3 linked regions of the Astyanax mexicanus genome follow. The protein of the gene in region 1 interacts with the protein of each later gene in a biochemical or structural test. Links are inferred from orthologs where the notes say so. Each region holds a gene or a part of one and is shown in the gene's direction. Other genes may lie near its edges. The genes, in order: lrp1aa, plat and apbb1.

Region 1 (9,709 bases):
GGCAGGTCTTCAGTAAAGGCAGCAGCAGTAAAAGACCGGGTTTGACACCCTGACGTAGAACCACCACAAGAACAATGTGATTGAAAATAGTTGGTTCTACGTATTGTTTTTGGGATTGGTGGGAATTGAAGGAAATATTTGAGACAATCTGACCAAATGTTGAAGCTCAGGACCAGACCAGATAGGTAAACTGGTCAATATCTCGGCAAGAATTCTATAAGGGCGTTTTCACACCAGCACTATTTGGTTTGGTTAAAACGGACTCTAGTTTGTTTATACCCTTAGTGCGGTTCGATTGAGCAGGTGTGAAAACAGTAATCGCACTCTGATGTGGATCAAGACAACCGTTGACCAGTTAGTGGAGGTGGTCTCGGTCCGGTCCTAAACGAACTCTGGAGCGGTTCACTTGTGGTGAGAACGTGATCAGGTCTCGATCTGACCCAGCTATCAAACTTACTTCTTTTATTTTAGCTAAACGGCTGATAAGACACAGTTTAATCTGACCTATTAGCCAGATAACTCTAATTACCACAGCTATGAACAAACGCTGTCTCTGTTCAGTGTTGTTTCCGTGCACGGTCTGTGCTGCATTCACTACTCGCAGCCATATGACTCAGTTTACTACGTGTACATGTGCTAAAACTTTCAGAGTTCTGTGTTAAAGCAGCTTCACGCTGCACACATATACTTGCGCTGGTACACAGAATCTTGTTGCTTCATCTACATTCTTGCTCATGCGCCAGACAGCTCTGACCAATTAGAGGAGACAGCGTGCTTGAGCGGTTTTTTGGTGCACATTTTGGTGAGTTTAGATTTATGCCTGTGTGAAACCAAACCAAACAGAGGGAGAAAACTCTCCAAATAAACAAACTCATCAACTGATCTGCACCATACAAACCAACTACAGGTGTGAAAACGCCCTAAGTTACTGGACACTGGTAGAACAGGGAACCCTGTTGTGTCAGAACTCACCAGGTTAATCCGGGAGAACAGCGAAAGCCACAGCAGAACTGAGGGATAACTGCTGAAGCTGCAGACGTCCTAATAAGCTTAGGAAAGTTGAGGAATGTCAGGCAGTCCGACACGCGAAAGGGGGCCCAAGCTTGTGCGGGTGAGGAAGGGGAAGGGGGTGGAGGTCGATTAGGCCATTGTAAAGCAAGGTTGGACCAGTGCTCTCTACCCAAACACCAGCTATACTTGTGGTCAGGCTGAACAGAAACATGGTAATAAGTGTCCAGTAGATCTACAGGTGTCACAGTGGGACTGAGAATTCAATTCAGCATTGGACTTACATCTAGACCAGCCCACTCAGTGGTGCAAAAAGGGGGTACGCAGCGCTAGAAGGGGTGCCAAATCAATGCCGGAAAATGAATTCTAGTCGGCATTTTCTGTAAGAGCTGTTTGTTCATGTATGATAATGCACAGGGGCGTCGCCTGCCCTGGGCTTCCGGGGCTTTAGCCCCGAGTAAATTTCCACTAGCCCCGAATCGTTTCACTCAGCTCAGCTGTAATATTAGTGAGGAGTGAGGAGTGCAGAGCGTGGTGGGCTAGTATAATCAAAACACAGATCAAGGTTTGAGAAAATGAAACTATATATATGTTTAACTTGCCCTGATGTACCTGACCAATAACTATTTCATTTTAAAATTGTTTTTGTTAATTTAGGATTGCAGGATTACTCAAAGCTATAATTAAAGAAAATAAATTTAGCTAACCAGTTAGCTAGAAGCTGGATGTTGTGGATAGCCAGGATTTAGTACTATACTTAGTTTAAATGAGTTTCTTAACCCTGGTCTCCGCCCTAAAATTGTATGTTTTCCACCAGATCCAACTCATCAGCTAATAAACTAATATAATTAACTGGGCTGAGCCACGGATTTTTACATACCCAGGCAACGCCCCTGATAATACACATCAAAAAAGAGGGGGGCGCTCATAGTATGTTTGCATACACCTCAAAAAGTATGTAGTTGCACTACCATATGTTTGGTCATTTTAAAAAAGTAGGGAACATGTGTCATTTGAGACTAAGCATGCTAGCTAACAGAGCTAATGATCTCTGAACGCTGGGTTAGCTTTATTTTTCTACATTTTTCATATTCTACTGTATATTGCTGACAGCTGAACAAATCATGCATTTTTAGGCCATTTTATGTGGTTTTCAGTGGTATTTACTTTTTATTGTGTCCTTTGAGCTTTTTATATGCTTTCTTCATTGTGCATTATTACTAAACTCATTTCTTCTCTTTTATTTTTTAAGGCTGTTTTACATTACGTTTTATGCTAGAGGAAGCAACAGGGTGTTGTTGGGGATTTGTCATGCACAATTCAATATTAGAAAATGTAAATCAGGTTCTATTTTTAACTCTTTTGGAGGCCCACACACAGAGCCACCCCCCCACCAGGAATTGTCCCGGCCCTCCCTACAGCCAGTCATTACATTACATTTGGCAGACGCTTTTGTCCAAAGCGACTTACAATATTGAAGTGCAAATAATAGAAGAGGTTAAGTACAAAAATAATAGAAGTTAAAAATAAAGCATCTATAGATAGGGCCTTAAGGAGGTCAGAGGGAAATAATGGGATAGAGGAGTAGAGAAGAGGAAGAAGGAGATGAGGTTAGAATTAGTTAGTTTGTTAGAGGTGTTAGGAGAGTAAGTGCTCTTTGAAGAGCTCTGTCTTCAGGAGTTTATTAAAGATAGTGAGAGATTCTCCTGATCTGGTAGTGGAAGGTAGTTTGTTCCACCATTGGGGAACTCTGTATGAGAACAGTCTGGATTGCTTTGTGTGAATGTTTGGTAAAGCGAGGCGACGTTCATTGGAGGAGCGCAGCGGCCGGGAGGTAGCGTAAGCCTTCAGGAGTGAGTGCAGGTAGGAAGGAGCCTGTACTGTCATCACCTTGTAGGCGATTGTAAGCGCTTTGAATTTGATGCGAGCATCAACTGGTAGCCAGTGGAGCTCAATGAGCAGCGGAGTGACATGTGCCCGTTTTGGTTGGTTGAAGACCAAACGTGCTGCTGCATTCTGAATCATCTGTAGTGGTTTTACTAAACAGGCCGGGAGGCCAGTTAGTACGGCATTGCAGTAGTCGAGGCGTGAGATTACCACAGCTTGTACCAGGAGTTGGGTGGCCTGTTGCGTCAGAAACGGTCGAATTTTTCCGATGTTGTAAAGCGCAAAGCGGCAGGATCGAGCAACTGAGGCCACATGGTGCGTGAAGAGAAGCTGGTCATCAACCATGACACCCAGGTTCCTAGCAACCTTTGTCGGTGAGAGAGAGAGAGAGTCGATGGTTATGGCAAAGTTGTGTTGAATAGAAGGTTTTGCTGGTATGACCAGAAGTTCAGTCTTTGAGAGGTTTAGTTGGAGGTGATGTTCCTTCATCCATGCGGATATGTCTGAGAGACACTGTGATATTCGTGCAGAGATTGAGTGATCATCTGGTGAGAAAGACAGGTATAGCTGAGTGTTGTCAGCAAAGCAGTGGTAGGAAAAACCATGTGAGCGGATAACCCGACCTAGAGAGGTGGTGTATATTGAGAAGAGAAGAGGTCCCAGTCCCGAACCCTGGGGAACCCCACTGGGTAACGAGTGGGCTGGGTACTTGCCATGACACCCTGAACGAGCGCCCAGTGAGGTACGATCTGAACCATGACAGCGCATTGTCTGAGATCCCCATGTTCGAGTTACAGTCCATCCCAAGACACGGATGAACTGTTTGACGTGCAGTCCAACAAACTGTGAGCATGTCCAACATGCAGATCCAGCTGCTATAGCGTACTTTAGGATTTCTGCATAAGAAAGGAGATGTGGCAGAGCTACAAACATCCACAGTTACAGGAAAATACACATAGTAAAGAGGACATATTATACATATTATACACATACTTTGTACAAGTTGAAAGTTGGGTCTATGGGCACAAAATCACTCTCACATAAAGATATTTCACTAGCTTTATTATTGCCAGTTTTAGCCCCTTTCAGAATGAGCAGCTCTGTCACTTTTAGGCTATGCCTTGTATATGCTGAGAGTTTATCAAACGTTAGCTTATGCTAAATTGCAAAACTCAAACAAGCCAAATCATGCTTAACTGTGATAGAAACACAAAAACCCATCATTTGACAGCACTTACTTTTTCCTTGTCTGCTGACCTGCCACAGAGAAGTAGGTATAGAGTCCTCACTCAGAAAAAGACGGATGGTTAAATCCTGTGTGTACTGTTTGAGGTTCTTAATTTCAACCAAAATGTAAAAAATGTCAGATCTTTAACTGATCTAGTGGGTGGGGCTCTGGTGGAAGTTGATGTTGAGAGCTAGTGCGAGGGTGGTTCTATGCTAAGTTTCCTCTTTGTGACATCAGAATAAGGGAGCCAACCAAATGGCCCATAGAAACTCCTAAGACCAAACTCTTTCAGCTAATTCACAGATGGATGGATCTTTTTCACGCTTGGAGTGTTTATAGGGGCAGTCGTGACCCAAGTGACCCAAAGCTGCAGTTCTGACAACGTTCAAAGAGTATAAATTTAATAATTTCTCTCCAACCAAGTAGTCAAAGTTCTCGAGTCTCGAAAACATCACAAAACACACACACACACTTATGATATATAGTTGTGCAGTAAGGGAAGTGTGCTGGTGCTTATTTAACTTCCACAGCCAGAACCCAGAATACAATTGTGATCTTTTGGTGTTTATAAAAGTCAGAGGGACCTGACCTGACCTGCATCCAGAAACCCCACATTATACTGCTTTTTCCTACTGATCCTCCTCCTCTTCCTCTCCTCCACCTGGTAGGAAATGAGCAGTAGGAAAGGAGGAGAAGGAGAGTAGCAGTAGGAAAAGTGGAGGAGGCCAGGAACAGTAGGAAATGTCAAAAAAGGGGAGGAGAGGAGCAGTAGAAAATGTGGAGGAGTAGAGAAGCAGTAGGAAACATGGAGGAGGAAGGGAGTAGCAGAAGTTTCTGGACAGTCTAACTTAGATCTCCTGCTCTCCTCCAAACTCTCCCTCCTTTTCTCACAGAACCGGATCAGCTGTGTTTAAAACATCTGCAGGCTGAGATCAGCAGCGCCCCCAGCGACCTGGAGGAGGAATGACTGCTCCCGGTTTCTGTTCTCACCGCGCTCTGCTCTGATTGGCTGAATCCTGAGCTCCGAGAAAGAGAGCGAGAAGGAGAGAGAGGGAGAAAGAGAGAGAGAGAGAAAAAGAAAGAGAGAGAGTCAGTGTGGGTGAGGGCACGGTCTGAGCCGCTCGCGCTTCTGCTCCCCGGATTCTGAAGCATGAAGAAACCTTGAGACGCGGCGGCGCGCGAGGAGGAGGAGGAGCAGGAGGAAGACTGGGACAGTGGACAGCTAAGCCCAGACTGCTGCGTTCTTCTGGAGGGTTCGGTTCTGCAGGCTCGCAGCTCCTTCAGGCTATTTGAACTGTAGTTTTACTGCACGAGCCGGATGATGTTGCGCGTGCCCGCGGGCGCGGCGGTGGGATTGATCTTGCTGGGGTTCCTGCGCGCTCTGGAGGTGCAGCCCCCGCGCGCTGCGGACGGTGAGTACATCGGGTCTCAACTTCTCGCGCGCTCTGCTTTCTCGGCACGCGCGGGGAGACTCGCCGTGCAGCAGCTGTTGCTCTCTGTGCGCAGTGAGCTCGCGCTTCTCTCCCGGTTCTGCAGCGAGAGGCTTATAGTCTAGTTCATCTCGGTTTGGTTCAGACTCCACTGCGGAGAACTTTAATCAGACTGTAGTTAAACAACGCATACCACACACACACACACACACACACATCTGTTGCTGTTGTGATGTCACAAAGTAACCCACTCTAGTGTTATTCTCGAGAGGGGCTGTCAGTGTATAGTTCCACTTTTGTTGTCCTAAAGCACATCAACATTAACAAAAAAAACAATATAACAATATATTTTATATATAAACAATATAAAATCCACACGAGCAGCTTTGAGATGGTCATGCTGCTGCTGCTTCTCCATCTGCAGCCGGAGTCTGAGAGAGGACCGTAGGACATGCTATTTCTAGGTGGCTACAGTAGGTGGCGCTCTCTCAATTCATCACTCCCATTGTGATGCTGGCCAGCACAGGCTTCCACTGGCTGATGTATCAGAGCTGGGCATCCGGCGCTTTCCTCTAAGAGCATTGTGATGCTTCGTATAGTAATTGGAGACACTTGGAATAGAGGCGGGGTCTGACTTCACAAGTATCTCACTCGTCCTCACCCTCCTGGTGATGGCAATCCTGGGGAAATGGCAATCCTGATATATAGTATAAAACAGAGTAAAATTAGAAATAAAAAACAATAGTGAAAATGAAATGATTACTAAATCAGTTAATAATTAATTTAATGCTTAAACTAAGAGTCTTGCCCTTTATCTCTCTTTCTCTCTCTCTCTCTTTTAGCTTGTTGTGGAAGGTGTGTTTAAGTGTGTTTTCATACTGTGAAGTAATGTCTGTCTCATTTCTTGAGCAAAACTATGCTATCTCATCCTGGGACGCCAAACAGTAAACAGACAAACAGGTAAACAGAACATCTGCCTGGTTAAAATGGTTTGGGTCTCATTTGCTGATCCATTCTGACCTTCAAGTTGCTGTGGTCATCCAGTAGTCATCATAAATATTCAGAAAATCTAAAGAAAATCTGAAAGGAGTTCCAACTCTAGAACACTTAAAGGAGAGTGCCTTCCTGTTCTTCACTGTAACAAACTGTGCCTCCCTGTGTCTTTTGTCTCACTGTGCTCCGGTGTGTCACACTGTCTCACTGTATTGTGCCTCACTGTGTGTCCTTTGTCTCACTGTGCCCCACTATGCCTCACTGTTCCCCGCTGTACACCATTAAGCTTGCTGTGCTTCACTGTGTTTTTACCATTCCCTGTTGTGCCTCACTTTTCCCAGCTGTGGCTTGTTTTCACTGTACCCCACTGTGTCTCATTGTGTTTTCACTGTGCCCAGCTGTGCCTCACTGTGTCTAACTGTGCCTCACTGTGTTTTGCTGTTCCCAGCTGTGCCTCACTGTGTTTTTACTGTGCCCATCTGTGCCTCACTTTGTCTTTCTGTGTTTTCACTATGCCCAGCTGTGTGCCTTACTGTGACTCAATATGCCCCGCTGTGCCTCACTGTGTTTTCAATGTGCCCAGCCTCGTTATGTGTTCTTTCCTTAATTACGTGTCCTTTGCCTCACTGCACCAACTGTGCCACATTGTGTGTCCTTTTTGTCACTGCACCCGACTGTGTCTAACTGTGTTTTCACTGTGCCCAGCTGTGCCTCACTGTGTTTTTACTGTGCCCTGCTGTGCCTCACTGTATTTACTGTGCCTCATTGTGTTTTCACAGTTCCCCACTGTACCTCACTGTGCCTACCTGTGTTTTTACTGTGGCCAGCTGTACCTCAGTGTGCCCTGCTGTGCCTCTTTGTGTTTTTACTGTGCCCCTCTGTGCCTCGCTGCATTATTTCTCACTGTGCCTGAATGTGCCTCCCTATGCCTTAGTCTGCCTCACTGTGCCCTGCCAGATCCTCAAACCACTGGAAACCATTAACCCGTGTGCCCCCTCCAGCTCTGGCTGTGGAGACGTTTGTGTGTGTGTGTGTGAGAGAGAGAGAGAGAGAGAGAGAGAGAGATTGGTGTAAAGGTAAATTCTGAGAGTTGTATAAACTCAGACTGTGTGGGAGGAGCTCAGACAACTATAACAGAATGGGATTGTGGGATACAGACTGTCTAAACGCAGTGGTTAGAGAGAAACCTCCTCACTCAGCTTGGTTCAGTCAGTACCAGAAAGCGAACTCTGTGAGATTTACAGAGGATCAGAGTCAGATTCTTAGTGCTTTAAGTTAGAACAGTCAGAATCCAACTGACCTCCACATAACCTCTAACCTTAGACCTATGTCTGATCTCTCTCTCTCTCTCTCTCTCTCTCTCTCTCTCTCTCTCTTTCACTCTGGTATAATGTGAACATTCAGTATAGCTTGCTTGGCTGCAGCAGCCCCTGGTGATGCTTTTTTACATGGCTGGCATAGCTGGTTCTCCAATGGTTCTCCCAGAACAGAGCAGCATCAGAACAGTTTAATCCTTATTTAATCTGAAGTGAGAACCACTCCCACCAGGCTGTTGGGCTTATTGGTTGTTGGGTTGCCAGGATGTCATATAAAGCCCTAAATTGGCTCGCTCCTGAGTATTTGTAAGACCTCATCTCCTCCACAGTTTATACCACCTGCCTCAGACTAGTTGCTTACCCTTCACTACGAATTATATTGAAGTTTACATGAATTTTAACTAGCAATTATGAAAGATGGGCTTTTGGGTTGTTGGGTGTCTGGTAGGGCTGCAACTAATGATTATTCTAATGATTATTTTGGTAGTCGACTAATCTGATTATTATTTTTTCGATTTGTTGATTAGTCAACACATATTTCTGCCATGTTCTTCATCTCTAAAAACAATAGAAACAGTTGAATATGGGAATTAAAAGACATTTAAATGCTGGATGTTGTTTAAACGCAGAAAGTACTGATATTTTGGGATTAAATATGTAATCTGTTGTGTTTGGGCAATTTTGGAGACACTAAAAAAAAGTTGATTGTAATCTGTGTGAGTGAGCCATTCACCCATCTTCCATTGAGATTCTGTCCCAGGACTTTGTGTAATAAGATACTTGTAATGTAGTACTGTTACAAATTAACAATGACATTGTCGATTATATCAACAAATCATTGCAGCCCTAGCATCCGGGCTGTTGGGCTGCTGAGCCGTTAAGCAGTTGGGCTGCCAGGCAGTTGGGCTGTTGGACTGTTTGCCATTGGGCTGTTGGGCTGCTGGGCTGTTGAGCAGTTGGGCTGCCAGGCTGTTGGGCTATTGGGCTGCTGGACTGTTTGGCCGATGGGCTGCTGGGCTGTTTGGCCGTTGGGCTGCTGGGCTGTTTGGCCATTGGGCTGCTGGACTGTTGTGCCATTGGGCTGTTGAGCAGTTGGGCTGCTGGACTGTTGGGCCAGTGGGCTGTTGAGCAGTTGGGCTGCTGGATGTTGGGCTGTTGGGCCATTAGACCATTGGGCTGCTGGGTTGTAGAACATTTGGGCTACCAGCCTGCTGGTGTGTTGGGCTGCTTATTGGTTTCTGCAGTCTGGTTATGTTGCACAAATATAATTGTTTCAAGATATTTTGTACTGTTAAGATAATACCAGTATAATAATTGACACACTTTATCACTTCTCAACTAAAGCTTATTTTTCTCTTATTTTGTTATTTTGTTTAGGGTGCTTTAGACGGGTCTGAGTCTCTGCTGACTGTCCAGTGTTGGATTTGGTCCGTCTGTTTCTGAGTTTGTATGAATCTGTAAACTCTGTGCTCAGAATATCCGCTGTGGAATCTCCCACAGTGTTTACTGGAATGTTCCGGTTTGGAGAATGACTTAGTTCTCCTGACTCCAGCTTTGGTTACCCTCACGTTTTCACAGCCTACGCCTGCCTAGCGCCCACATGCAGCCAACTGTGTGGAACCCTCATGAAGGATTACATGCAGGTCTAGACACGGTATTCCTCCTCCTCTCTTCCACCATCTTTCTGCTGTCATCTTGCCATCATTCCTCTGTCCCCCACCACCTTTCCCTGCTTCCCCCACATAATCCTCTCCATGCCCCCCACTGCCTTCTGTCCGTCCCCATCGCCATCCCCAGCCTCATTATGAACCTAACTCTCCATCAACTCAACACCTTCTCCTGTTCCC
Region 2 (10,248 bases), on another chromosome or scaffold:
TTTTTTCACAAGGGTAGAATCCTGCTGATAAATTCTCAGCAAAGACCCTCAGATTACACTGAGTCTGATTTACCAAAGAAAAGCCACAATGATTAAATCAGTATTTCTTGTGTAATCTGTTTTTCCATCATTCCAGTGCAAAACAGAAGAGTGTTTAGAGAAGAGAACAGCACGGTTTCACTGTAAATTTATTTACCTCCGGTGTTGGATGATGAAAGTGGGAATGGCGTCACAAACATTTAAAGTATGTTTAGTTAATTACAGTATTATAACATATTAATATACAGCTCTGCAAAAATTAAGATTTCACTTCAGTTTCTGAATCAGTTTCTCTGATTTTACTATTTATAGGTTTATGTTTGAGTAAAATGAACATTGTTGTTTTATTCTATAAACTACAGACAACATTTCTCCCAAATTCCAAATAAAAATATTCTCATTTAGAGCATTTATTTACAGAAAATGAGAAATGGCTGAAATAACAAAAAAGATGCAGAGCTTTCAGACCTCAAATAATGCAAAGAAAACAAGTTCATATTCATAAAGTTTTAAGAGTTCAGAAATAATCAATATTTGGTGGAATAATCCTGGTTGTTTTTTAATCACAGATTGAATTTATGCATCTTGGCATCATGTTCTCCTCCACCAGTCTTACACACTGCTTTTGGATAACTTTATGCTGCTTTACTCCTGGTGCTTGTTCTGCCAACGTGAAACATTTCCAAATCATCTCAAAGTGAACCGTTAGTTTCAGACAGTAACTGAATAAATGTGTCTGATTGAGTTTGTTAAATATTTGTGATCTGGAATCTGGATGAGCTGCATCTTCATGGTATTTAATTAATGTTGGTCTGATTTGGTGACCACTAAATAAACACCAGAAAACAACTCAGTCTAACTTAACCGAAAGCATTTAGATATTTAACTCAAATCATCCCACATTTATCACAGTTATTTCCCACATTTCCACATCTGAGAGACGGTCTGATCACTAGTGTTAGTGACGGGGAGGGAGGCGGCGCGGTGACGGTGTTGTTGGGCAGTGTGTCGTTGTCTGTTGGTGAGCGTGACGCTGATGGTGAAGTGACGTCCGGATAAAACACCCCTAACTACAGGAGTGTGTTTACACCACAGCTTCCTGTTAGTGAGTGAACTGCAGGATGATACAGGGCAGTAGTCCTGAATATAAACACGCCTGAGTCACGCAGCACCAGATATTCAATCATTTAAATACACTGTGATTACTGTGGGTATATTACATATTCATGAAAACTGATAGTGACACACATTTACATTTTATCACTTTTATTAATATAATATACTGTTTATTACACTGTAAAGACCTGCACACTGCTTATTTAAAATGTTAAGGAAATCCAAAATATACAGAAAAAGGTAACTTGCTCTTAAAGCCACCAACACTGAGGCCGGACAATCTGACAATCTGACAATCTGACAAAGCTGCAGGTAATTAATGAGAAACATCAAGGTCAGAGAAATGAGTAAATTCAGCATCACTGCAGGTGTTTTGTTTGTTAGCATGGAGCATTCTCGGTCCAGTTGATCATTTCCATCGCAAAGATGTCAAACGTTCACCTAACTCAAAATACTTGAGACATAATCGCTGTAAATAAATGTAATCTTACCTAAAAAAATGATTATTCTATTTACATTTTTGTAAACATTTATGAACATTTTTACAGTGCAACACCCCCACTTTACCCCCACAAATACCCAACTGACCCAACCAAACTGAAGTGCTGGATGGAGCTCCACCATTCCAGAGAGACCTTCTCCAGATAAATCTATTCTACTGACAAAACCTGTGCACATCTGTGTCAGTAATTCATGCAACATAAAGTAGCTGAATTCATTCAAACATCTCAAAAATCATAACGATTTCTATACTTCTCAATTCTATATGTATCCTTATTTACAGTCAGGGCTGTAGAAGTGACTTTGGATTTGTGAGTCTGTTTTTTGCAGCCCAAACCTGTTAAACAGTATATGTGTTCGATCTTTGCATATTTTACTGCATATGAAAATATAAATACGATTTAGGATATATATGATTTAGGATATATATGATTTAGGATATATATGATTTAGGATGTGTATGATTTAGGGTATGTATGATTTAGGGTATGTATGATTTAGGATATATATGATTTAGGATATATATGATTTAGGATATGTATGATTTAGGATATGTATGATTTAGGATATATATGATTTAGGGTATGTATGATTTAGGGTATGTATGATTTAGGATATATATGATTTAGGGTATGTATGATTTAGGATATGTATGATTTAGGATATGTATGATTTAGGATATGTATGATTTAGGGTATGTATGATTTAGGGTATGTATGATTTAGGATATATATGATTTAGGATATATATGATTTAGGATATGTATGATTTAGGATATGTATGATTTAGGATATATATGATTTAGGGTATGTATGATTTAGGGTATGTATGATTTAGGATATATATGATTTAGGGTATGTATGATTTAGGATATGTATGATTTAGGATATGTATGATTTAGGATATGTATGATTTAGGGTATGTATGATTTAGGATATATATGATTTAGGGTATGTATGATTTAGGGTATGTATGATTTAGGATATGTATGATTTAGGATATGTATGATTTGGGATATATATGATTTAGGATATGTATGATTTAGGGTATGTATGATTTAGGATATATATGATTTAGGGTATGTATGATTTAGGGTATGTATGATTTAGGATATGTATGATTTAGGATATGAATGATTTGGGATATATATGATTTAGGGTATGTATGATTTAGGGTATGTATGATTTAGGGTATGTATGATTTAGGGTATGTATGATTTAGGGTATGTATGATTTAGGATATGTATGATTTAGGATATATATGATTTAGGGTATATATGATTTAGGGTATGTATGATTTAGGATATATATGTAAAGGGAATAAAAATGTGGAAACAGCGTAAATAATCCTTCCTCATGAGTCTGAAAGCATTCCAGTAAAGGGAGGAAATTCCTCGGGCAGACCTTAGAGAATCCTGGTGCTCATAGTGATAACACAACCGCAGTCTATGAGTTAATGACCCAGAAATGTGTTTCCACCATCTGGAATAAATCAGTGATAATTTAACCTTCATCACTAACACTCGTCTCTGAGCCAATAATATAAAGAATATCTCATACTTACACTATACTGCCAAAATGATTCACTCACCCGTATAAATCACTGATCTCAGGTGATCCTGAATCTCCTCCTCCTCCTTCACAGGTGATTAATAATAAAATCAGCAGAACGATTGAAAGAGCGGATCTCAGGCTCTCAGGAGCTCAGTGAACTCCAGCACTGTCGGACTGTGATAGGATACAGGAGCACCTGTGCAACAAGTCCAGTCATGAAATTTCACTACTCACTACTAAATATTCCACAGCCAACTGTCAGTGATATTATAACACAGTGGAAGAGACTGAGAACCACAGCGTCTCTGTGCTCTGCAGAGTAAAATAACAGAGCAGGGTCAGCGGATACTGAGGAGCACAGTGCACAGAGTTCACCAACTTTCACCAATCCCTACACCAATCACTACACCAATCACTACACACCTCCAAACTCCACGTAGCTTCAGAGTTTATTTTAAGATACTGAGTGATAATAAAACTCTTTTATAGTAAATCTGAAATAGAGCACGGTTGGTTTGTAATGATGGGATGGTTAACAGTGGTATATAAGATCAGTCAGTCGGTTTTTCTGTTGTTGAATTAAAGTGTTTTTAATCAGAAACAGAGACGGGAGCTGTGAGCTTCTGGAGATGGAGACAGGTCTCATTAACTCCACACCCACAGCAGACCAGACCAGACCCATCAGAGACGTTCCAGAGCCTGAAATACTCTCAGAATTACTCTCAGAGACGCTGAGCAGTTTTATTCTTCCTGACGGGGTTTTAGAGGAGTTGCAGTGTTGAGTGAGCATGTCGACAGTAGGACTCTCAGCTGGTTCTGTTTAGGACATGTTTACCCCCAAAAAACCCAAATCTCCTTAATACGACTGCATTGTATTGAGGAGAGGATAGCTGGGGACATGTATTACGAGATTTTAGGGAACAACCTCCTCCCCTCAGTTAGAGCACTGAAGATGGGTAGTGGCTGGATCTTCCAACATGACAATGACCCAAATCACACAGCCAGGATAACCAGGGAGTGGCTCTGTTAGAAGCATATCAAGGATCTGCAGTGGCCTATAGCCCATCTCCAGATCTATAGAAACCCTATAGAAAATCTTTAGAGGAGCACAAACTCTGTGTTCCTCAGCGTTCAGCCCAGAAACCTGCTGATCTGGAGAAGATCTGTGTGGAGGAAAGAGCCAGAATCCCTGCTGCAGTGTTGAAGTGTTGAAGTGCAAACCTGGTGAAAAACTACAGGAAATGTTTGACCTCTGTAATCGCAAACAAAGGCTACTGTACCAAATATTAATATTGATTTTCACAGGTGTTTAAATACTCGAAGTCGCAGGGTGTTCAAATATTTATTTTCCTCACTGTACTTTATTATTTTGTTTTCTTAAAACATGAATATATATATATATATATATATATATATATATATATATATATATATATATATATATATATATATATATATATATATATATATATTCTTTAAAGATATTGGAAAATATAGAAATATAAACATAACTTTAACTGGAACAGTTGGGTGGTCCAACATCTAACATTAATTTAAATGATTTAAGTAGAGAATATTTAATTAATTCAGATTATTCAGGCTCACAGTGTGATAATTACATGAATTTCAGGAGTTATTTCATATTTCGCTTCACTTCTTCTTTTCCCGGGTTCGGTAATCAGTTTGGCACAAATACAAATCCTTTATAAATCACATTACATCACTGATACACTATTACTCACCCTAACCCCCAACATCCTGATCAGACCTCAGAACTGATTCAGTACCAGCCTGAGGAGACACTGACCCCTCCCACACACACACACACCCACACTCACACACTCAAACACACACACACACACACTCAAACACACACACACACACACACACACACACACACACACACACACCACTCACACACACACACACACACACACACACTCAAACACACGCACACTCAAACACACACTCAAACACACACACACACACACACACACCACACACACACATGCAGTGTTTTTTGATTCTTGTGAGGACCTATCATTTACATAGTAATAATTGTAGGTAATGCACACTATACCTACACCTAACCTCAACCTTAGTCTTAATCTTAATCTTAACTTTAACCTCATTGATCAGAAGTAAATCATTTTATTCTTTTTCCTTTTCTAATTAAAATTCCTAAAATAACTAAAATAACCCTTTAAAATTATAAGAAATGCAAAATCACAAACCAACAGATTATTACAGATCACTACACTGTGAGTCTGGATACACTGAATTTAACTAAATAACTTGAAAATTGACTTCAGTCTGTTGCCATTGACCACTTATTTCCTATTGGATGCTGGCACCATCTATTTGCATATTGTGTGTGTATTCCACCACCAGTTTCTGACATTCACCATCAGTGTGTAGTCGCCCCCCCCCCCTCCTCCTCTGGCTACTTTACATACACTTACAGGTCAAATATTCTGATTAACTTATGATGAACTACTTCAGCTCATTAGACAGCATCTTTTATGCATAATTAAACAATTAAATGAATTTACTTGATGTTTTTGTTTTATTAAATAATTTGCACAATAATGCTCCTCTAAATTTTAGTGTAAGCTAATTAAAAGGATTTGTATTAAACCTTGTTTTAATATAAACACTTACATTTGAACAGTTAAGTTAGCAGCTCAGAAAATAATATTTGCAAATATATTATATAAACATATAGACCAAGCAGTTAATCACAGGATCTACAGGATCTACAGGTTTCAGGTGTCACAACCAGTGTGCAAATATATTTTACAAAAAGTCAATAAAAAAGAAGCGATTAATTGCAGCAGCTTAAACTCATTTAAATTATATTAAGTTGATTCAACTTAAAGATCTCTGTTTAAATGTAATTGTGGTTCACTCAACTCAAAAACGTGCATCTGGTCCTCACAAAAGTAGCAAAACGTGTATAAACACACACACACACACACACACTATCCCGGGACAGCGTGCCAAAAACCCCGCCTACGATGCTGCATCATCACCGACATCATCAGCCCTAGCCCCGCCCCTTCCCGCGCGCGACCAGGAGGGGATAAAGGCTCGCGGGTCCTCTGTGGGCAGCAGTAGAGTCTCGCGCGCTCAGAGCGGCTCACCTGTGGATTAGAGGGGAGGATCTTCACCTGCGCTGATCTGAGATCTGAGATCTAAAAGAAGGAGCTGAAGGTAAGAGCAGGTCTGAGATCAGTCTTCTTAATGCTCTTAATGTTTTGGCAGGTTATATTGGCTGTGGGTCAGTGAGGGGGTTTATCTGAGGGAGGGGCTCAGTCTGACTGATCCTGATACCGCAGAGTTACATCAACAAACTCCTCACTATTGTAACTATACTCTATACTCATACTCTATACTCTATACTCTACACATACTATACTCATACTCTATACTCTATACTCTACACATACTATACTCATACTCTATACTCTACACATACTATACTCATACTCTATACTCTATACTCTACACATACTATACTCATACTCTATACTCTATACTCTACACATACTATACTCATACTCTATACTCTATACTCTACACATACTATACTCATACTCTATACTCTACACATACTATACTCATACTCTGTACTCTATACTCTACACATACTATACTCATACTCTATACTCTACACATACTATACTCATACTCTATACTCTATACTACTGTAACCATACTCTAGAACAGGGGTTCTATGCTGGACCCACATTCATAGAATACAAACCAAACTAACCAAACTTGCTTCAAAAAACAATTTAAACATAAATATGCACGCAAAGTGTATTTAAGAGCATTTTTAAGAAACTATGGAGTAACATGATCTAGAACTACATGTATAAAAGTTAAATAAGTTAAATAAGACCATTAATTTAATATTTCACTTCTCTGCATTCAGAAATCATTAGTAAGAAATTCTCTCTCTAGCTCTATCCGGTCAGGATTAGTTTCTCAGGGTGTTCTGGGTAATTTTTTCTTTTATGGGGGGGTTTTATCCTCTGTGATTTTATTCCCGTCCAGAACGATCATGTAGGTGTTTTTCTCAGACGTCCTCTGAGAAAATTACAGGCTGAATTATCTACTGTTTTTCTCTGAACTCCGTGCTCCTCCGGTAATTTTAGTCCCGTCCGGACGCACATCTCTGAGTTTCGTCTCCTCACCTTTAATAAAATAGATATTTGTCCACTGTCGCGCACCGTAATTACAGTTTGGATGCACCACGGTTTCCATGGAGATCCACGTTAAAAAAACACAAGAGCGAGTGGAAATGGAGGAGCTACTGAACTCCGTGATGTGACCGAGAAAAAAGCCTAAAAACTCACTGATCCTCCTGTTTTTCAATTGCAGTCCAGATGCAGGAGTTTTATCACTAAAGAGTAGAAGTGTGACATTTATGTATATTGTCCCACCCCTACTGCATAGTGCTGCATTTTAAATGCTTTTCATTGAGCATTTGCAGTTTAGCCTGTTGTGTGGATGTTTGAGTGCATGTTTTAGCTCTCTCTCTTTCTTTCTTTCTTTCTTTCTCTCTCTCTCTCTTTTTCTTTCTCTTCTCTTTCTTTTCAGTCTTTTGTTTTCTCACACACTTTCACACACAGCTGTGTTACTCAGCGGTGAGTCAGCGAGCGGCTTTCAGTGTAAATCTCTCTCCCTCTCTTTCTCTCTGCCTGAGCTCTCTCTCTCTCTCTCTCTCTCTCTCGCGCTGTCTCTGGTTTAGAGAGGAATGCTGGTAATTGCTGTGAGAGTTCCGCTCGGTGTTCCTGGTTATCAGGGATGAGACCCTCTATCTGTTCTTATCTCTGGGAGGGAATGCAGAACCCATTACTGTGTAAACTGTGCGGACAGGATCTTCTCAGACCATTCTCATCTCAACATCTCATCTCAACATCTCACCCACCACTTACTGAGTTATTATCACAATATGCTGCCCACAATATCAGTGATATCACAATACTGTGATTCTGCAATCAAGAAATAATACGCTCGAGGTTCGTGCTATAACCTGTAATATCGGCGCTGCTGTGCTGCAGTTATAGGTTATAGCAAAAACCTTGAGTGTATTATAGCGATTATTATACCACAGTTCCATTATCGCTGTTTATTGAAAGATTTTAAAGAGTTAAAGAGGAGGAGAAAATAGGATCTGTTTGGTTATAAAAACTCCGTCAGTTAAATTAGTTCCATTGCTGCTCTGTTTGTAGCTGTGCTGTTTGGCTTGTAAGCGCTGCTGCATCGTTGCTAGGTTACCTGTATGTGGTGGAGTAATACGTACATGGAGAGCTTCGATACAGTGCCATTACTGGCTGATAACAGCACTCATAGAACGCCTTTCAGCCAATCACATTGCAGGATCGGAACTAACTGTAGTATAATACTGGATATATCACAAGACAATTCTGTATGATATTCACAGCGTCTGTGTTTCTGAAAAAGATACTCATAAATAATACTCATAAATAATGAAATACCAGCCTGGGCTTCAGCATATAAGTGTGTCTGCATTCCTGTGTCTGTGTGTGTGTGTTGGTGTGTGTGTGTGTGATGGTGTTTTATGAGAGTGTCTTTACAGGCTTTGCTTTAGTCAGCAGGTTCACAGCATGCTCTACTGCGCAAGCTTTGTCTGTGTGTGAGTGTGTATGTGAGTGTGTGTGTGAGTGTGTGTGTGAGTGTGTATGTGAGTGTGTAGGTGTGTGTGTGAGTGTGAGTGTGTGTAGTCTTAAGTCTGGTTCTGGTACTGAAAATGTCAAACACATAAACACACCAAAAATGAAGGTTGCACTTCAGTTTCTGAATCAGTTTCTCTGATTTTGCTATTTATAGGTTTATGTTTGAGTAAAATGAACGTTGTTGTTTTATTCTATAAACTACAGACAACATTTCTCCCAAATTCCTAATAAAAATATTCTCATTTAGAGCATTTATTTACAGAAAATGAGAAATGACTGAAATAACAAAAAAGATGCAGAGCTTTCAGACCTCAAATAATGCAAAGAAAACAAGTTCATATTCATAAAGTTTTAAGAGTTCAGAAATAATCAATATTTGGTGGAATAACCCTGATTTTTAATCACAGTTTTTTTTTCATGCATCTTGGCATCATGTTCTCTTCCTCCACCAGTCTTACACACTGCTTTTGGATATCTTTATGCTGCTTTACTCCTGGTGTAAAAATTCAAGCAGTTCAGTTTGGTGGTTTGATGGTTTGTGATCATCCATCTTCCTCTTGATTATATTCCAGAGGTTTTACATTTGGTAAAATCAAAGAAACGTATTTTTTCAGAGCTGTGTATCATGGCTCATTCCCTACATCTAGAAGTAGAGGGTGATGGAAAAATGTGTAAATTAAATTGAAATGTTTTTTTAGCAGAGTACTGATGAAATATCACTAAATCACAGCTCAGGCTGGAATGCAGAGGGTGATTTAAAGGGTTTCTGAGATTTCTTATAATTCTTATAAATTCTCGTCTTATAGTTATATATTGTGAATAATTGTTAAGAAAGTAATAAGATCACTGTAACCATATAAAACATCAGAGCAGTTAAATATACAGTGCTGTATGATCACAGGAGCAGAATCACTAAAATGAATGCAGGCCTGCAAAGCACTGTAAGATGATACTTAATGTGTGTGTGTGTGTGTGTGTGTGTGAGTGTAGTGTGTGTGTAGTGTGAGTGTGTAGTGTGTGTATGTGTGTCTGTCTGTGTTCTTTGTTGTACAGAATGACTCAGCTGTCCTCCTGTACACGTGTTTCTGCTCCATCACTGTTTGGTGCAGTTTTTCTTTCTTTCTTTTCTGATCCCTCTCTCTCTCTCTCTCTCTCTCTCTCTCTCTCTCTCTCTCTCTCTCTCTCTCTTCTGCTCTCTGCTAACAATGTGTCTCTGTTCTGCTTCTGCAGCCTGAGACAGGATGCAGATTACCCCCCTAACCCTACCCACACACACACCCACACCCACACACACACACACACACACCCACACACACCCACACACACACACACAC
Region 3 (10,634 bases), on another chromosome or scaffold:
TCACATTTGTGCTCAGCGCCCCCTAGAGGTTTCAGAATGAAACGGGTACAATAAAAAGCCAAGGCATGAATATTTGGATCTCCTTTTGCTGTACTTATTCTGCAGCTGATTGTTGCTTTACAATGCTACACTGACCACTTACACACTAATGGAGAATTATTGGTTTCAGCAGTTGGTTTAAACTAAGCTGACAACAGTTGAGAGAAAGGTTGGATATAGACCCACACAACTATAAATTATGAAAACGTTCAAGTGTTTCAGTCTCCCAGACATCTTGGTTGCATTAATAATTCGAAAGGGTCACTGAAAGGCTGAACGTCTTCTGAGAGAAACCACAGCCAGGCCTAAAGTACAAAGTCTGGTTTACATTCTGGCCTCTGTGAAAGTTAGTAGGAGGTTATAAGTGGGGGAACGCTCAGAAGCTATCGATTCTGCATAACAAAACATCTAAAGAAAACATAGGAGTGGGCTTAGATGTATTAACATGTTCCATGATGAGATGAAACCAAGATTTGGCCACAATTTTAAAAAAGTGCTACATTCAGACATAAACCATCCCCGATGTAAAGCATGGTGGTGGTAGTACTATGACATGAAATATGATTATTTTAAAATGATTCTGGAACTAGTATTTTTTAGAATACACTGAAAGCACTAACTTTTGTAGAGTTAAAGAGACTTTTAATAGACATTCATTGTTATGTGCATTGCTGTGAGGATTTGATTGTATTCAGCAACAAAAAATTAGCACCTGGAAATGGAGTAAAGGTGCTACTAAAGGTCTACATTACTACATCTATGACAGCTATAGGTGGTTGTTAATCTGGGAATGGGAAGAAGGTATTGATTCTGCAAAACAAAATATCTGAAGAAGACACAGGAGTCTGCTTGAATGTTACATGATGAGTTACATGATTTTTTTTGCTAAATTCAAAATGATCAGAAAATGTTATACATTTAGAATGATTGTGGAACTATTTTAAGAAAACACTTTGTTAGAGTAACTGACTCTATTGTCCAGTTAAAAGAGGTTCATGTTTATCTACTTCAGAAAGTCTTATTCTATTGGCGTACTAGACAAGCTGTATGTGTGCATTAGCACAGACTGTGACAGCAATGGGTGGTAGGGTATCTATGAAATAGTGACACTTATTACTGTTTAAAAGTTTGGAATCAGTTTTCATACTCTACAGCGAGTCAAAGCCGCTATCGCCAGCTCTTCTTCTAATTGTGGTGGCTTAGGTTATTTTAGTTCGTTTTGTTTAAAAGGTCACTACACTGAGCTAGACAACAAATGTGGCTATATGTTGTGTTTAATACTTCAACAAGTTGTTAATGAATAAACAAGACACTGTAATTATTTGTGCACAAATACAAATAATTTTACATAATGTTAAAAAATGGCTACAAACAACTTTTGAAACATCTGTAGGTAAATATCTTAATATCTTCTGTTGTTTTTGACAGTGGCATAAATGTGGCAATAAATATATACTGATTAGAAAGTATCATAAAATGTTCCATGGGCTGAATGCTTGTGCAAGGAAATGCATGAAGGGCATAGTGTGGTCAAACATACTTCCTGCAGCTTGTTTTGACTGTGTAGCATCCGGTTGTGGCTTCTGTGTCCCCCTGCAGGAACGTGTTCCCTCCCGGTGGTACCCTCCAGAGTACTTCAAGAATGATTTCTATGGATTCAAAGGGGATGTCTGGTCATTTGGGATTGTATTATGGGAGATGCAAACATTTGGTAAGTGTCCTTAAATTAAATTAAGTTAAATTACACTGAATGTGAGAAGAATAAATGCACCCAGAAGGATTTTACCAACAACAATGAAACTGGGTGTGTAGATGTACCAGACTATCATGGAGTGCCATGGACTTAGAATGGCAGCAAATCATCTTCAGTCCTTCACTAGTCCTGCTTAAGTCTTGTTTGAGACCCTACCAACAAATTCATGTGTTTTCAGCATGACAGTGTTCATCCACATACTGGTGCCACCTAAAAATACCATTGGGCTTTCTATGAATACTTATTTTTAATTTTTTATCATTTATTGTTTCAGGTAACCTTTAACTTCTTTCTGAATAGAACTGAAATCAACACTTTCATCTGAGTGCTATTTTTTAACTTAAATGTACATCTCTGGAAAAAATGAAGAGACCACTTCAGTTTCTGAATCAGTTTCTCTGATTTTGCTTTTTATAGGTATATGATTGAGTTTGAACATTGTTGTTTTATTCTATAAACTACGGACCAACTGACTCCTAAATTCCAAAAAAAATAAATGTAATTTAGAGCATCTATTTGCAGAAATTGCTGAAATAGATGCAGAGCTTTCAGACCTCAAATAAAGCAAAGAAAACAAGTTCATATTCATAAAGTTCAGACATCAGTATTTGGTGTAACAACCCTGTTTTTTAATCACAGTTTTCATGCATCTTGGCATGTTCTCCTCCACCAGTCTTACACACTACTTTTGGATAACTTTATACCACTCCTGGTGCAAAAATTCAAGTAGTTTAGCTTGGTTTGAAGGCTTGTGATCATCCATCTTCTTCTTGATTATATTCCAGAGGTTTTCAATTTGGTAAAATCAAATAAACTCACAATTTTTAAATGGTCTCTTATTTTTTCCAGAGCTGTATGTTATTTGTATCGTCTTTGCTATGTCTCTACTAAACTGCTATAAATAACCCTAATTTACATTCCTCAGGCACTTTGCCGTACCCAGACTTGAACACATCGGAGGAAGTAGCACGCTTTGTGTGTGCTGGCCACAGAAACAGTGAGCCTGAACAGTGCAGACCTGAAATGTGAGTGGAAGTGAAGAGGTCTTTTCACACCTCTCAGTTAAAAACATATTATGGTTTCTACTGACATTTAAGATGGGGTTGCTTTTGCACCACAGCAGTGGCATGTGCTAAACTCCTGTTGAGTCTGGATACATGCAGAACGACATACATTATATGTCCTAATGTTTGTGGACACCCTTTCTAATGAACCGATTCAGCTATTTTACTTTTGCACTCATTGCTGACAGATGCATGTACATGTGTAGATGCATAATACCTCATTTCAGGTGTGAATATTTAGCTGTGGAACATAATGTGGAGATCTGTGCTTCATCCAATACTTTCGGAATGAGTTGAGTGTGGTGGTGAACATCCAACTTTCTGACTTCACTAATGCACTTATCAGTGAATGCTATCAAATCCTCACAGCAATATTCCAAAATCTAGTCAAAATCCTACTTCTCTGGATGTTAGATACAATTACTCCAGCAAAGATTTAAGCTATTTGTAAAACTCATGAGTATTCTGGGATTATTTGTTTGTGCATAAGTGAAAACAGACCCTGCTACTAAAATCAGCAAGCTGCGTTTAAGACATACATGCAAATATGCACTTAGGTGTTGGCAATATTGCCCTAAAATAATATCACAATATTTGTGTCGATATGACAAAACATTGAATTAAAATAAAATAATTTCAAGAATACACTGAAGGAACAAAATTAATATTATTGCATATGTCACGATACTAATAATGCACTGCATATATCCAGGACTGAATAAAATAAAAGATATTGTACAGATATAATCTTTCTCTAGTAGATATTTATTGGGAAATGAAAACAGTGTACATTTTCCTTTTGCTACAAACTGTAAAAAAATGTTTTACCCTCATGGCCAATATGGCTCTAAAATAATATCACAATATTTTAGGGTTTTTGTGATGATAATATTGCATATGATTTGATACTTTTGTTCAGTGTGGTTTATGTAATTCTGTAACTTTCTCTGTAATTTGCATCGCAGCCAACAAATGATGATGGACTGCTGGCAAGAGCCTTACTCCTTAAGGCCTTCCTTCATGGACATTGTGGGAGTTCTGGAAAACATTCTTGAAAATGATCGTGTGAGTGTCCATCAGACTTATTCTTTGTGGCTTTTGTCATAATATAGCATAATATTTATTCTTAATGTTATTCCTATGAGTGAATGAACTGCAGTACGTATATTAAAATAAAACATCACATATTTTCTTTGTCTTAACAGGACTATGTGGACATAAATGAGAGTAGCTCGGTGGAGCCTGTAGCTTCAGATACTGTAACAACATCTGAAGTGCATACAGTGTATTGTAATGAAAGTAAATGCTAGCTCAGCACTGTTAATCAGGTTAAAGATGTGGATTTAACGAGTATAGGGGAAAGGCTATGGTGAAGCCACTGGAAGCCACTTTTTTTAAAAAGGGCTTGTGTGTTTGTTTAAATATTGGTATTGTTATTTAAAGACTGGCTGACTCCAGAGGGGGGCAGGGGGGAAACAGTGTCCTAAAGCAGGGCTTTTATGGCTTTTAATGGTATTTATGACTTTTCCATTCTCCTAACACACCTGACTCAACCAATCAGCTCATTAACAAGCCACTTTAGAGTTGCAGTGGGTGTGTTGAAGCAGGCAATTCACTAAAATATGCTGTGCAGGAGGGTGTCAGGACCAGGATTGAAAAACTCTGTCTTAAATGATGCCCTTTCCAGTAGAGACAAAGGTACACCGTGCTGTATAGGGTTCTACTATACTATACAAGTGTAAAAACATGAGTTATAGAGAATTTTTTCATCAGTGAATTAAACATGATCTAAGGATGTAAATACATAAAAAGTACACTGTCAAAGTTAAATATAGTCTGTAATAAAATAAATATATTATTTTACCCTGTGTGATGTCTCATTTTTGTTTTTTACAGTTTAATACTACAATGTGAGTTTGAAACTGCTGTTTGAAGATAAAATATTTACATAATGTTGTGATATAGGAGATTAGGTTGATGTTGGAAGACAGAACAGTTGTTAAGACAATTCTGTGATAGTCACAGATTTGAAATAGATGGCATGCTGGTGTTACAAATGAATACTGATACTTAACCATTACATTTTGTTTAGATTTTCATCATATTATATCATATATAATATATAGTATCATATATCACAATTTATCTTAAGCATAATGAGATATGAGATTTTACCAGCTTAAATGTCCACAAACATTTGGTCATATAAAGCATGTGGAAGAGCAGTGAATAAGATTAGTTAAAGAGAGTAAATAATTTGTGTCAGTATCTTAAACAACTACAACCCTTTCATTTAATCATTCAAATAAAATAATTGCATCACTCCACTTCATGCATTAGCAATCAGTTTAGTTGTAGTACACATGGCTTTGTATAGACTACAGTTCAAAATATAATGCTGCAATAAAAACTGCATTTTCATGAGAAAAGAAACTGATTTTAAACTAAAAGTAGCATATTGCATTACTAAAAAAGAACATTAAAAACAAATTAAAAACGTTTTTTAAATAAAAGAAAATAAAAAGAGCAGCATATTGTGCTTTACTTCTTATGCAAAAAACGACAAATCTGAGGTATAAATACTGCATTACTGAAAAAAGAGACTCTAAAGACGTTTTTAAAAACTTAGAAAATAAAAGGAGATAGTGATGCATATTGTGCTTTAATTCTTATGTAAAACAAACCGATTTAAATCTACAAACCGATTAAAAAACTACAATCATGAGGTACAAATAGTGCATTACTGAAAGAAGAGGCTCTATACGTATTTCAACCTTAGAAAATAAAAGGAGATAGAAGTAAAGCACAATATGCTGCACTAACACAAAACAAACTAATTTAAAAATACAAACGTATTTAAGCGCATAACCACGAGGTAAAAATAGTGCATTACTAAAAAAAACCTTTAAAGACTTATTGAACACATTAGAAAATAAAAGAGATTACTTCTAATGCAAAACAAACTGATTTAAAACTAAAGTTACAAACCGATTTAAAACTACAATCTTAAGATAAAAATAGTGCATCACTAAAAAAAGAGGACCTAAAAGCAAATTAAAGCCGTTAAATGAGATACTTCTAATACAAAATAACTGATTTAAAACTACAAACCGATTCAAAACTACAATCCTGAGGTAGAAATACCGCATTATTAAAAAAAAAACAGGCCCCTGGTAGTTGACGCCGCTTTGACGTGGGCTGTGTGACGCAGGCGGAGGCTAGCGGAGCAGCTAGCGCGGTTAGCCCCGCTGGTGCAGCAGCGCTGTGAGTAAGAGCGGAGAGCTGTGAGCTGTGAGCGGTGGGCGGCGGAGGAGGTGGAGGACATTTTTCCGCTTCGCTTTGCTGGATTACACGAGCCGCTGGATATTAATGAGTCGCTCTGGATAGAAGGTGAGTTATGGTGGTCGCAGTGTTTGGTTTATGAGTGTAAAAGGCGGTAGTAGAGGCTGGGTTAGTGCGGTTGTTCGGTAGTTAGCGGGTCGGGGTGTGTTTATGTTGTGGGAGTGAGAGGAGGGGGGGATCATGGAGGGCGATGCTAGTAGCGAAGGCTATGAAGAGATTTGAGCCGATATTACTGACTGTAGTTACTGAGTGACGGTGTAAAAGTCGTGTTTTAATTATTCTGATATCATGTGATATTTCTGGGCTTGTATTCTGGTGGTCTGAAGGCTGTCGTTAAGCTAACGTTTAGCTAGCATCCAGCGCGAGCAGCTAAGCTAACTTAGCTAGGTTAAGCTAGCTCTAACCAGCTGTAGCTAGGTTAGTTAAGCTAAATGCGCAGCTAACGTTACGGCCCAGCTTAGCCGAGTCGCTACACACAGCTGGGACTGCGGAGCTTTATAGCTGCTGGCTGTGTAAAGGCTGCTGTGCGGGCGTTGTAACTAAAATTGTTATATTTCTAGTGATATTTTGATTATATTAATAGATAATGCCGTTTCTGCTTGTGTAGATATAGGTTAGCATATCTAGATAAAAATAAGGTAGGTCCAGTCACACTGGCTACATGGGCATGTAACGTTACTCATCCACACATTTGGATGGATACGCACCTAACCTAGCTTACGGGTACATAACTAAGTGAAGTTACATGTGTCCATATACATATAGGTAGATTTTTACAGTTTATTTAAAACAAACACAGAATATGAATAAAATACTGACACATAAAACATACAACAATATTATTTTACCTCAGTCAATCAGTGACATTACATAGTAATACTAGAGACCCTGGCCTGTGGGAAAACTTAAATTCCATTGCTACCCGGAGCGGCGTCTGAGTTTCAAAAAAATAAATTGTAATAACTGGCCTGGTTTTGGCTAAAACAGCTCGCAACAGGTGAAACCTATTAGCTAACCAGATAGAGGTGTGAATTACCGAAGGGATGAAGGTTATGACCAGTTAGAGAAACCTGAACAATTTATCTGTCTATCATTAAGTACGATACAATAGGTTAATTATCAGTGTTCAGTGTTAAGTGTTCTATCAGAATAAGATGAACCTTTTTTTCCGCTCATTCATCTGATATTGAATTGTATAAAAAAAAAACAGTCTGTTTTTGTAGATGAGTTAGCCTACCATCTCAAATATTTACTATACTAGCTCAACACTGTCTGCTAAGGGTGCAATTAATTATTATTTTGGTAGTTGACTAGGATACAATGATTTAAAATAAAAACATTTATTTTACCCATACCCTGTCCCTCTGCTTCCTGTAAGTATGGCTCATGTTCCTAGTTTTCTCTATCGCTTAAAAACAATAGAAACAGCAGGATGTGGGATTTAAATGCCCGTTAGATGCTCAGAAGCCATTTTTGGGCACTTTTGGGGACCCAAACCAAGTTGAGTGTAAACTGTGTAAGTGGACCCATTACCCTTGCCCATTGTATTTATGTCCACAGCATTTTGTGTAGTGCATTGCAGTTAGTCAGCACATTTTTATAATCAACATTTTAGATTTAGCTGATTAATCATTGCAGTCCTAGTGTCTACCCTTCTCACAGTGTGTAGTGTGACAGTGTAATTTAATTTATGAGTGCAGTATACCTGTTGTAACCTGTTGTAAGGGGGATTCCCTTGTGTACTGTACCTAAATGAGAACAGTACTCACCACCCCAGTTGGGTAGTAAGTTAGTTATTAATATTACATTTACTAACTTAATAAAAACCTTAACAAAGTATTACGTTAAATTATCAGTTTTTATTTGTAAACTCTATTAAACTGTGTTTGGTGTCATCCCTCCAGAAACCATTTCCACACAAATTAACCATGACCCAGTAGAATACATAAAAACTTAATGGTACACACTAATACTTCTCTGGGTACCAGGTCAAGACAAGAGGCTCTATTTGTAATGTTAACTGTGTACAAGTACACAGTGGAGCAAACCAACAGTCCCCCAGGACCATGGCGGAACAAATAGCAACACAACAGCTATACAGAACAATGCACAAACAAAGAGCAAAGAAACAATACAATAAATGCAGTAAATAGAACAGACCATGCAATTAGCTGCCATAATTTTGCTTGACTATTGGCTTAGGATGTTGTTCTAAATAAATTCTAATGAAAGTTGTTTTCTAATTTTTTTCTGTGGTTATTCACTCTTCTGGCAATCTTTTCCAGAGGCATCCAGCTCTGTGCCATGTCTTTAGAGAGCTCTTCAGACCTGGCCAACGAGAACACCTGTTTGCCCCCGTCACTGACCCTTGACCTGCGCTGCCCCCACAGCACTCTTTTAGACACAGAGTTAGGCAAAGCTAAAAGCTCCTGTACCTCCTCTCCCAAGAGCCGCCGTATCTACGCCAGCACCACCCAGTCCCAGCTTCTCAACGGCATCATGGGCGGACTGGATGATGAAGCTTCCCTCCAGCACCGTGAGGAGGAGTGGGCCAGGAATCAGGAAAACGAGCAGGGTCACCCTGTTCCAGGGAGCAATGCCAAGTGGATGAAGGAAGGCCAGAACCAGCTGCGCAAAGTAGCAGAGAAGCAGCAGGACCTAAACAGAAACCCGGACCAGAACCTTAACCTGGTCGAGAACGAAAATGAAAACGAAAGCCCCGACATGAACCCCAACCGAAACTCCACGCTTGGGGTGCAGGGGAGTGATGTGGAGAATAACAAGACCCTGGAGGTCCTATGCTCTGACGTAGATGTTAGGAACACCGCCAACGAACCCATTCTGATTGATACCTCTGAGGCCCCCATAGGCAAGGAACGAGAGAATGAGAATGAGGAGGAAGAGAAAGAAGAAGAGGAGAACTTCCCTCCTGGCAGTGGAGAGAAGGACACAGACTCCTCTGAGACACAGAGCTGCAGTGAGTCGAGGAAAGACAGTGAAGGCGGAGGGAGGAACACATGCTTACTGTTCAGCAAGAATGGAGCTAGTGATGAGGACTCCAGCTGTATGTCTCTGTCTCAGGGGAGCACTGCCAACAGCACCCCTGATGGAGATCCAGGTAGCTTGTCTCAACCTGCTTCATGCTTGTCTTTACAGTTGATCTATGGAAAGACTTATGCTTATAGTAAAGTGTGCATATTTATTGAAGATTGGTCATTACCTTGTGAACATTTTCACGATTTCTGTGAAGCAATAGAAGTAGTTCAGAATGGTGTTAGCCTAAATAAACCTTGTAATGCGAATGAAAGTTTAGCACACTTTCTTCACAAATGGAAAGCTGTTCCTATACTGTACTATAATAACATTTTATAATACTGTATTTTGTGTAATAAAAGCTTGTTTTGGCCATTTAACTTTTAGTCAAAATACTTTAAAGCATGACCTGTTTTTTGTTTTGAAAGTGGCAGTTTGCTGAAATGTGGATTGGCAAAGTTGTATATGAACATCAGTGCCTACTACAGCAGTTCTAATTACTCTGTGTTTTTGTTTTTTTCCAATGCCACCCCCACTACCATCTGGTGTGGCTACTTAGAGTCTTATTGGGACCGCAGCGCGTTCGAGACCGACACAGACCTGCCAGCCGGTTGGATGCGTGTGCGGGACACCTCTGGGACCTACTACTGGCACATTCCTACAGGCACCACACAGTGGGAGCCACCTTCTCCCCTAGAGGAAGGTGCAGCCCCAGAGAGACCATCCAGCACCTCACCTGCCATTACCCCCTCTGAGGAGCCACAGGTACAAAGAAAATGTTGATCGTACTTTTACCATGTTAAGACATAATAGATGGTTTTCTTACTTCTTGATTTAAGGGAATGCATTTGTTTAAAAAAAAAAAAATTAAACGTCGTAAAGTCTCACTTTCCTAGCTGAATTTAATGTACAGAGTGAGGCAAAACAGGTGCAGGACATCCTTTCATTGTAAGGGAAATTAATAAAACAAAAAGGAATATGACATCTAAATACCCCAGCAAGTAATGGGTGAGGGGGGCCTATCTTTTTGGCTGCGTTTGGAACATGGCCTTCATATTGAAAACTGCATATTTGGTTTCTGACAAAAGTGTGTCCTGCAACTTTTTTACACACATTGCACTTTGTCTAGTATAATGTTGATGCTTTTATGTTTTAGTTTAATTGTTTTAACTGGCTGTGTTTTAATTAGTTACACACACTTTTTTTTTGGCAGAATTGCTTTTAGTTTCACACCATTTGATGTTTTTGACTGTATGATTTCGTTGGCAAAAATTGGCATAGTTTTCATTGTCAGTGGAGAGATTATTATATCATCAGGTAGCATTGTCAACAGTTAGACACACAGGAATCATCACCTCAGTCTATCTCTGGTATTTTGATTCTAAATCAATAACAATGCATGT

What was found.
Region 2: the proteins of lrp1aa (region 1) and plat form a complex in vitro, tested with the Homo sapiens proteins (2 studies listed by BioGRID). The link is inferred for Astyanax mexicanus from reciprocal best matches to the Homo sapiens genes LRP1 and PLAT.
Region 3: the proteins of lrp1aa (region 1) and apbb1 form a complex in vitro, tested with the Homo sapiens proteins (2 studies listed by BioGRID and IntAct, with this or other methods). The link is inferred for Astyanax mexicanus from reciprocal best matches to the Homo sapiens genes LRP1 and APBB1.

The regions. Positions count from the first base shown.
Region 1 is NC_064431.1:17,166,604-17,176,312, reverse strand, and holds the start of lrp1aa (low-density lipoprotein receptor-related protein 1), read left to right. Parts: upstream 1-5,204; 5' UTR 5,205-5,441; coding exon 5,442-5,535; intron 5,536-9,709. UniProt on the Homo sapiens protein: Endocytic receptor involved in endocytosis and in phagocytosis of apoptotic cells. Required for early embryonic development. Involved in cellular lipid homeostasis.
Region 2 is NC_064419.1:210,066-220,313, reverse strand, and holds the start of plat (tissue-type plasminogen activator), read left to right. Parts: upstream 1-6,300; 5' UTR 6,301-6,422; exon of another isoform or gene 6,423-6,432; intron 6,433-10,248. UniProt on the Homo sapiens protein: Converts the abundant, but inactive, zymogen plasminogen to plasmin by hydrolyzing a single Arg-Val bond in plasminogen.
Region 3 is NC_064427.1:28,561,204-28,571,837, reverse strand, and holds the start of apbb1 (amyloid beta precursor protein binding family B member 1), read left to right. Parts: upstream 1-6,101; 5' UTR 6,102-6,246; intron 6,247-8,432; exon of another isoform or gene 8,433-8,483; 5' UTR 8,484-8,502; coding exon 8,503-9,316; intron 9,317-9,790; coding exon 9,791-9,996; intron 9,997-10,634. Other genes in the region: fibroblast growth factor receptor homolog 1-like, read left to right, coding at 1,639-1,750, 2,718-2,817, 3,822-3,921, 4,062-4,166. UniProt on the Homo sapiens protein: Transcription coregulator that can have both coactivator and corepressor functions. Adapter protein that forms a transcriptionally active complex with the gamma-secretase-derived amyloid precursor protein (APP) intracellular domain.